2 linked regions of the Oryzias latipes genome follow. The protein of the gene in region 2 interacts with the protein of the main gene of each other region in a pairwise test. Links are inferred from orthologs where the notes say so. Each region holds a gene or a part of one and is shown on either strand. Other genes may lie near its edges.

Region 1 (4,145 bases), on a different chromosome or scaffold from region 2:
TACAGACAACTGAAAAATCCAATGTTAGCTTTGGAAGCGTTTTCTTTTTCTTGTGAAGAAAATATTGGAAAACCAGAGTCATGTGGGAAAAGTAAAGTTTGTGTTCTTCTACATGACGTCTTTAGTGGCCATCCTGCAGACGACGGCGTCCAGCAGGCCGCCGCTCTCCTCCTGAGGACTCACTTTGTACAGCTGTGGGGGGGGGGGGGGGCAGAAACGCCACGTTACAGAAAGACAACAGGAAGACGTTCAGAACATGAGCTGAAGACACACGGCACTAAATCAGCTCTAAAAATGTTGGAAATGGGATTATTTAGGATATGGAAAATGGACCCAGACTGACAAAATAACAGCTGGAAACACTAATTCATGCTACAAAAAGTAAATATTCCTCATATTTTACAGCAGAGACATTCCAGGTTTGACTTTTCTCTGCAGTTCATCCCAAACAACCGCCGTGGAAACGACGTCTAGAATTTGATGAAGGCTCCATGTTTTGGATCATCTTCCTCCTTCACCTTTACTTCCTCCCAACGTGTTCAAGTAACCAAGACCACAAACCCATGATGACCCCTCCACCGTGTTTGACAGTCTGTTTTTTTCTGTACTCTATTGTTATTGAATTTGTGACATCACCCACCCCACATGAAAAAAGTCATGACTGGAACTGTGACATGACGAAACATTCATCCATAAAAGAAGGATTTTCAGCGTTTCTGTTACATTTTAGGGTCAAACCCTGATTTTTCAAACTAAACTTACGTCTTCTTTTCACTCCAAGTTAAATTCGTTTCTTAATTAGAATGTTGTAAAAGTATTATTCTATTGTTGAAAATGATTCAGATATTTGGAATCGACCGCTTAATTGTGTGCGCCTTGATGCACTTTACGTTTAAAAAGCAGAAATCTGAATCCAAAGCCGCTTTGAGGATCCGTTTAGCTCTGCTGCAGCTCAGCAGAAAAACTGAGCTGAAATGTTGCAAACAGCTTTTTTCAAACTCCACACGGAAATTCTCCCAACCTTCAAGGAAAACTTTGACACTAGAGAAACTTCTCATCTGATCTTTAGGGTTTGAGCTCATTTCTCCAGATTTTTACTGCAATCAAAGTCAACACAAATCTTTTTTCTTATGCAATTCAATCACAATCAAGTATTTGAATGAATGTTTTATCTTTAAAGTAAGTCAGCAATAGAGTCGGATTGTTTTCTTTCTTCCATTTTCTTCACGCTTTACTCATGAAGCTCTGATGGAAACCTGCTGTCATTCCCACAAAAACCCAGCAGACGTTAGGAAAACCTTTCTGATCTTTGCAGGATCCGAAAAGGAGGAAAACTCTTCCACTGGGACCTCCTGCCCGTCCACCCTGATGGCGATGTGGGACAAGACCTCGGAGTCGTCTCTGCTGTGAACCACGACCACCAGAAGGGAGCGGTCCTGATGGGAGATCCCGAAGCGTTTGAAGGCCTCTGAAATCTGCAGGTGAGAGCAGGATCAACGTTTGAGTGACCCTAATGAGACAACAATCCATGGTTTATGTAACAGTGGTGCTGTTGAAAGGTTAGCGCCCCCCCTCAGTGAAACCAACTGATGTTGCTGCAGACATCCAGGTTTTTAGGTCCACTTCAGGCTTCTGTCTGTCCAACTAAACTTAGAGCTGCTTAGATTCTGAAGTCCGGCTCCAGACTTCAGGTGTTGTCTGGATGCGGTCCCTCCATCCCCCCTTCTTCAAAAGAAGAGAAATGACAGGACCTTCTCCAAACTCTACTTCTACAGGCCAACCTTACGGAGGATCAGCTGAGCCCAGTGACTGATGGACTGAACCATCAGCTGAGAGGACGAAGAGGAGCCGCAGCTCAGACTAACTTCCTGTTTTTCTGGTTTTGTTTTTATGTTTGGTGGCATGTGTGAGTCTGAATAAGTGTCAATCATTGAGAGCTCTAAAGACGCTGCTTTCTGGTAGTCCTTCAGTTCCACCGACTGAAAACCTTCTTCTGTTTCTCCACGACCGTCTGCTGCTTCATCCTGGAGGCCTCAGAGCAAACGCACAGGTGGATCTTTAAAGTCTGTTCCTGCAGGCCGTAGATGCCCATTCCCTCATAGAACTGCTTAGTGCTTCATCCAGTGTAAAGATATGAAGTTATTTACTGTATAGTATTTGAGAAGTTCATTATAAAAGGATTAATCATTGAATAAAACTAGATGAACAAACTAGTAGATCACTGTTCCTCACAGTATTATTTAGTACTTATAAACATCATTCTATTTAAAAGGAGAAAACAGACTTTTTGCTTGAGCAGACCAACTGTAGCCCAGAGTTTTTGTCTTGACAGGGAAATCAAGTGTTTGCTCTCGGTCACGTGACTCACATTATTGGTCGGTGAGAGGTTGAAGATGATCTCCGAGTTCAAACTTCTCGTCTTCATTTTTCCGATGCTTTGTGAATGAATGGCTTTATTTGCAGCCAGCAGCGCCTGGAAAGGACTTAGCAGCTGCAGACGGAAGCAGAATGCGTCAACCCACCGGGCATAGCAGCATGTTTGACCGCTCTGTGCTCACCATGGTCGGGTTGATGAGAGCGGCGTGGATGTTCCCCTCCACGGCGTCCTGCCTCAGCTCCGCCGCGTTATTTACGTCTTTAAAAAGCATCTGAGTCACGTGCTGCTCAGGGAAAAGCTCCAGCTTTTGTGTGAAATGCATGTGTGTATTTATTTAGGACCTAAAAGGTTGGAAAACTACAAAAAAACAACCGGCATGGAGCTCCGTGTGACGGGGTTCCGGCGGAACCGTTTCGCTGTTACACCGCTCCAAAATCTCATTTTGCCATTTTTCTGTCCCGTTGACTGTATTCGGTTTTGTGAATTTTTTCTTAATCTATATGAAATATGAAAATATCTACATGATACATTTTGCGTTTTTAGTGAAAATAAATAACTTGTAAATCCACCAGGGGGAACTATTTATGTAAGCAATTCGAACGTTTTTAAGCGACGGACATCCAGCTGTCGACAGCTCTTCCGTTGACTCTCCTGGGACAGTTTCACAGCTTTTCCTTCTAAATTCTTTCATTTTTCTTTGGTTTTTAAACATAAATTGAGTCTTGATGCGCCTTCCTCAGCTTTATCACCGCTAGCTTTGTGCTCGTAGTCGCTTTTGCGTGTTTCCGGGTCGAATATGGAGAAGTTTGAAGGCTACGTGTTCGCTGCTCTGTGCAGCACCAACTTCTTGGTTTCGTGTCTGATCTTCTCCAAAGTCACCAGAGAGCAGAGGGAGGCTTACATGGACGAGATCTTCCATGTTCCGCAAGCCCAGAAGTACTGCCAGGGAAAATTCAGCGAGGTAAAAGACTGTCTTTGTTTGTTTGTTTGATGAAGGGGGAGGGGCTCCATCATGGGGATTAAGGTCAGAGATGAGGCTGCTGTCAGGTCCAGATGAGGCATGTTGTCCATGACAGACACAGACAAATGCATTAGTGCAACACTGTCCACATGAACTACTTAGACAAAAACTAATACAACATAAATAAAGTCTTTTATTGTGAAGAATCATGACATATTTTTAAACTTGTTTTACTTGTATTTTTTCAGAATTTTGGGGCCACAGAAAAGTAAAATTACGACATTTAAAGTTGTAATTTTTTTGACTTTTTTCCAAGTGAGCAAACAGTCCAGCAGCACAGCAGACCGAATAAACTCAATTTGGTCAAACTGTCTTGGATTTGAACATCTGAGCTGTTTATTGATGACGTTACAAATGTTTAGAAGCTCCGATGTTGGATTGACGGTTTATGAACGTATTCATTAATGGGGGGGCTGGCAGCATCTCTGCAGCCCGTCATTGAAGACATCAGTATCCCTGCAGCCGTCCACTTCCAAATAAGATACGATACATATCCTGATATTTTACCGGAACACGTTTTCCATTTTATTTTTGGAGTCTGACTTAGAAAAAAACTCTACCTGAATGTCAGTACGTCTCCCATTGTAATAAAATGGGCAAAGTCAGTTTATTCAATGATCCCAATGTTAAGCATTGCAACTGGATCTCATATATAAGTTGCTTTTATCCAGGAAATTCATTGTGCTTTTATTTTGGTAACATAAAATATATAAAGGGAACAGTCAACATTGTCTGATTTCCAATACA
Region 2 (4,234 bases):
GCTAGAGCCGAAATGTAGCTCAGGCCAAAGTCGATGAGGACCAACTCAAGCTCCGAGCTGTCGGCGCTGCGTCGCAGCAGCATGTTGGAGGTGGTCAGGTCTCCGTGGATCACGTCTTCGTCGTGCATTTTGGCTAAGATCCGCCCCGTGAGCTCAGCCAGCCGCTGCAGCTCTTGGTCCGACCGCGAGGACGACCGCCGGGCGGATGCGATGAAGTCCCGCACAGTCTGAGAGTCAACTATTTCCTCCAGGAAAATACAGCTGCAACTGTAATCCACAAAGTAGACGACGGGGGTGGAGATGCCTGTGGAGGAGAAACAAGTCTTTGACCGGACGCTGCAAAAGGTCAGAGGCCAAGTAAATATCACAGTTTGCCTTGATCCTGTCTGTAAATGATAGGATAGAGACGACTTGAGTTGGTTATGGAAGGATTAATGGAAGATGAAGTGTGCTTTATCAGAAATGAATGCACTTCATGGAAGCAACCGTCCGGTTGCTTCCATGAAGTGCATTCATTTCTGATAAAGCACACTTCCAAGGTCATCAACCCGCTTATACTATGGTCACCTGCAAAAGAAATAAATGTTCAACCAGTTTTTAGTCCTTTACTCTTGTTATTTTTTCAGTTTGGATCACTTTTTAAACAATAAAGCATCAGTTCAGAGGGAAAGCTCTCCTCTTGCCGCTCGTCTTTGTCCAGACGATGAAGATTACGTTTGTTTTAAAGAAGCCAGCGGAGTGATACAGAACATTTCAGCTGGAACTACTTTTTTAGATTCTCACTTTTTAGTCCACACCCAGCAGGCGATCAGAATGGAGTGTTCACCCGGACCGTGGTTTAATCCTAAATAAATGAGAACATTTAAATGCAAAATGTTCCTCTTTTAATCAAATGTATTTCTTAGAACTTGGATAAAACGGATCCTCTGCTCTTCACACTGAGGGAAGAAAAAAACCCGTCTTCTGTTCGCAATTCTTTGTTCTCACCGTCTGAACAAAAATGCCCCCCCTCCCCACCCCATACTTAAAACACCCCTAGTGCCCAGTGAAAATGAATTATGCGCATCGTAAAAAATACAACATCAACAAAACGTTGAAATAAGAAGATGTAGATTTTGAACGGCATCTTTTATCCTGTTTTTAGGCTGTTTTTGTTCTGATTTCATGTAAAAATGAATCAACTAGAGACAGAATCGGGGGGGGGGGGGGGGGGGGGGGCATTTTCTGTCCATCTGCTCCCCTTCAGTGAATCTGTCCTCGTTTTCTCAGCAGCTCTGAATCTTTGGTCCAGACTACAGGAGACGGACTGAAACCTCTCGTCTCATGGCGGCGTTTTTCAGCAGGAAAACACAAACGTCTCTTTTTTTTTTTTTTTTTTTTTTGCCTTAATGCTGCACATACTGGTAAAACCAAAAAAGGAAGAGAGGAAAGGAAGAGCAAAAAAAGAAACACCAACTCCAGTCGAGACAATCATTATTTTCGCTGCTTTTCATGACAGATTTTGACCCTTTTGGCTTGCCATAAAGGTGCAGGCTGTTGGAGCGCAGCCTGGCTGCTAGAAACGATAAATCCTGAGTGTATCAGGAGGACAGGAGTGCTGCGTATCCTTACAAAGACTTCATGAGACATTTAGGACACGCGCATCAAACAATCGCACGTTTCATTCTCCTGACGTCCTTGAAGTGGCCGAACGAGCCTCAGTGGAAGTGAACGCCACACCTGCGCTCACCTGTGGACCCAGACAACCAGAGAGCCACGGCCTGTGAAGTGACTTAGGCTAAAGTGACCAGCGTAGTGTCTCCGGCAGTCAGAGCTAATATAATAATAAAAACATTGTTTGTGTCTCTCCATTAAGTTTAGGAATAAGAAAAAAATCAACAGGAAATAAGTAACGTCAACTGCCGTCTAGCGTGAGAAAAAGGTGTGGCGTGAGAGTTGGCAGCCACAAAATAACCTGGGAAACTAGAGATATTTTTAGTAAATTAACTGAGACATCCAATCTGAATTACCTGAATAAGTTGCACACAGGTCGTCACACGGTTGCATTTTAAGATGTGTGACTGTAGTTTACGAATGTTCTGACATGGAATTCTTGGGTTTATAATTTTTTCTTGTTAACAAAAAACAATTTGTTCATTCTGCAGTTAAAAAATGACAACATTTCCAACTCTGCTTTGTGTTTTTCTACCGCTCAGGTGTCCTGTGCAGTTGTGTAGTAAAATAAAGTAAAAACTTTGTTGCTTTTGCTAAACCAAACTGTGTTAAAGGTGAATTATTCCAGGAAATTGTAAAGTTCTACAAATTGTTAAAGCGGTCCAGGACCACAAAGGGTTAATGCTGACCCGGATTGAGCAGACAGAACCTTTCGCCTCGTGCGTGGACAAACCCCGCGAGGCCTCGTGGAGCTTTTCGTGGTGAACTAGAGAGCAGGACGTCCTGGACGGTCCTAGGCTGCAGTGGCCTCCGCCTGGGGGAAGCAGAGGCGTCTGAAGCCGGGGATCGGCACCGCGGCGGCGGCGGGACTCACCTGCTCTCCGGCAGCGGGCGATGCTGCGGACCTCCTGCATGGTTCTGCGGTGCGTCAGTTTTTCATCCAGCTCTGGGTGTCGGTAGCGTTTCGGAAACCGTTGTTTGATCACGGCGGGTTTTCCCAGGAACTCGGCCCGGTAGACGCGGCCCTCCGCGCCCTGCTTCAGCATCTCTGCGCCCCGCAGCAGCTGGAGGGTCGCCATGTTGGCGGCGGCTTCTTCTTCTTCTTCTGGCGTTTTACTGGCGGTTTGAGGTTTGCCGCCACCTACTGGACTGGAATGTTCCTGGAATGTTCTAAATTATCTTTTTATATTAGCATTGCCTGTCTAAAAAAAAACACATCTACGTTCTTTTCCACAGATTCATCATGTCGTTTTTTTAGATTTTGTCATATTTCTCTGTAACTAGAAGGAGCTGCATCTCCAGAAGAAAATATGGGTTGATGCTGTATCGCTGAATGAAAAGGAAGCGTAAAGGGGAATCATTGGAAAATAAATAAATGAATTAAAAAAAGATCAAAGTTAACCATAAATAAAGTTAAAACAGCACAATAACAAAAAACATATTTTTGTGATAAATGCCAGAGCCGGGTATCGAACCAGTGAGCTTCTGCACCAAGGATCCCTCATGTTTTTCAACGGAGGCCAAAATCCTGGAATATCTGGAAAAGTTCAAGGATTTGAAAGTCCAAAAGTTGTAGCTGGAAAGAGCTGAATATTTGAATAGTTGAATGGTTAAAATAGATGAAAAATTGTAGGAGTTAAGCGGAAAAAATGGCCAAAGATACTAGAATAAAGAAAGAGAAACAGGAAAACAATGATTGAAGGTTTTATAGCATTCAACCCAATAGTGGAATTACGGTCAGAACATATCACCATGCACGACAACTACAATGATCTGGGGCCTCATTCATAAACGTTGCGTACGCACAAAAGAAGGCGTACGCCACTCTCTACGCAATAGTTGAGATTTATAAAAAGCAAACTTGAGGGGAAAATGTGCGGTCCTTCACGCTCTGACCCAGGCGTACGCACAAAAACGGGTGAAATGAGAAACGGTGACGCCGTCGGCAGATGGAACAAACACGTGAAAGTGAAAATGACAATACTGCCTCTCATAAATAACATGAAGACTTCACAAAGCAAGTCTGACAATTAACAGCTACACCAACATCCGTTTGATCGATCAGCAGTGAAACAAACAAAAAAGATCAAACGAAAATTACAACAGAAATTCAAATGAACACTTATTTGCAGAAAGAAAAGTGAAATATGTTCTGCAATATTGGCATGTTGTGCAATTCATCCTCATAAATAATATAGTTAACAGAACGAAATAATGTACAAAACTGATATTCTCGTCAATGTGTCCGTCTGGCGGAGCAGATATAGGTGCGGGCGTTCGGACGGACGGACAGACGCACTAATTGTCCACTGGGGAAAGTTGTTTTCATATTAAAACATTTCTCCATAAGCTACAGAATTATGGTATTCATGCATATGCCTTTAGTTTGTTTTATTTTTGATAAACAATGTATGGCGTATGTCTCAACCATTCAGAAAGCAACAAGAAATTACATTTGCGCTGATCAATTTCCCATTTCCACGTCGATTATTCCCGACATCTGTAGCTTTTCAGATGTAATTAAATGGAGGGAAATAAAATGCCCCATCACAATGCGTAATGACGCACAATGGCTGATCTT

Evidence for each region.
Region 1: the proteins of tp53rk (region 2) and tprkb interact in binary tests that used the Homo sapiens proteins (3 or more experiments, as listed by UniProt). The link is inferred for Oryzias latipes from reciprocal best matches to the Homo sapiens genes TP53RK and TPRKB.

Annotation. Positions count from the first base shown.
Region 1 is NC_019881.2:365,702-369,846, forward strand, and holds the start of tprkb (EKC/KEOPS complex subunit TPRKB), read right to left. Parts: upstream 2,808-4,145; 5' UTR 2,700-2,807; coding exon 2,559-2,699; intron 2,492-2,558; coding exon 2,369-2,491; intron 1,476-2,368; coding exon 1,299-1,475; intron 193-1,298; coding exon 109-192; 3' UTR 1-108. Other genes in the region: alg10 (dol-P-Glc:Glc(2)Man(9)GlcNAc(2)-PP-Dol alpha-1,2-glucosyltransferase), read left to right, coding at 3,174-3,338. UniProt on the Homo sapiens protein: Component of the EKC/KEOPS complex that is required for the formation of a threonylcarbamoyl group on adenosine at position 37 (t(6)A37) in tRNAs that read codons beginning with adenine.
Region 2 is NC_019879.2:917,671-921,904, reverse strand, and holds the start of tp53rk (TP53-regulating kinase), read right to left. Parts: upstream 2,805-4,234; 5' UTR 2,733-2,804; coding exon 2,528-2,732; intron 305-2,527; coding exon 1-304.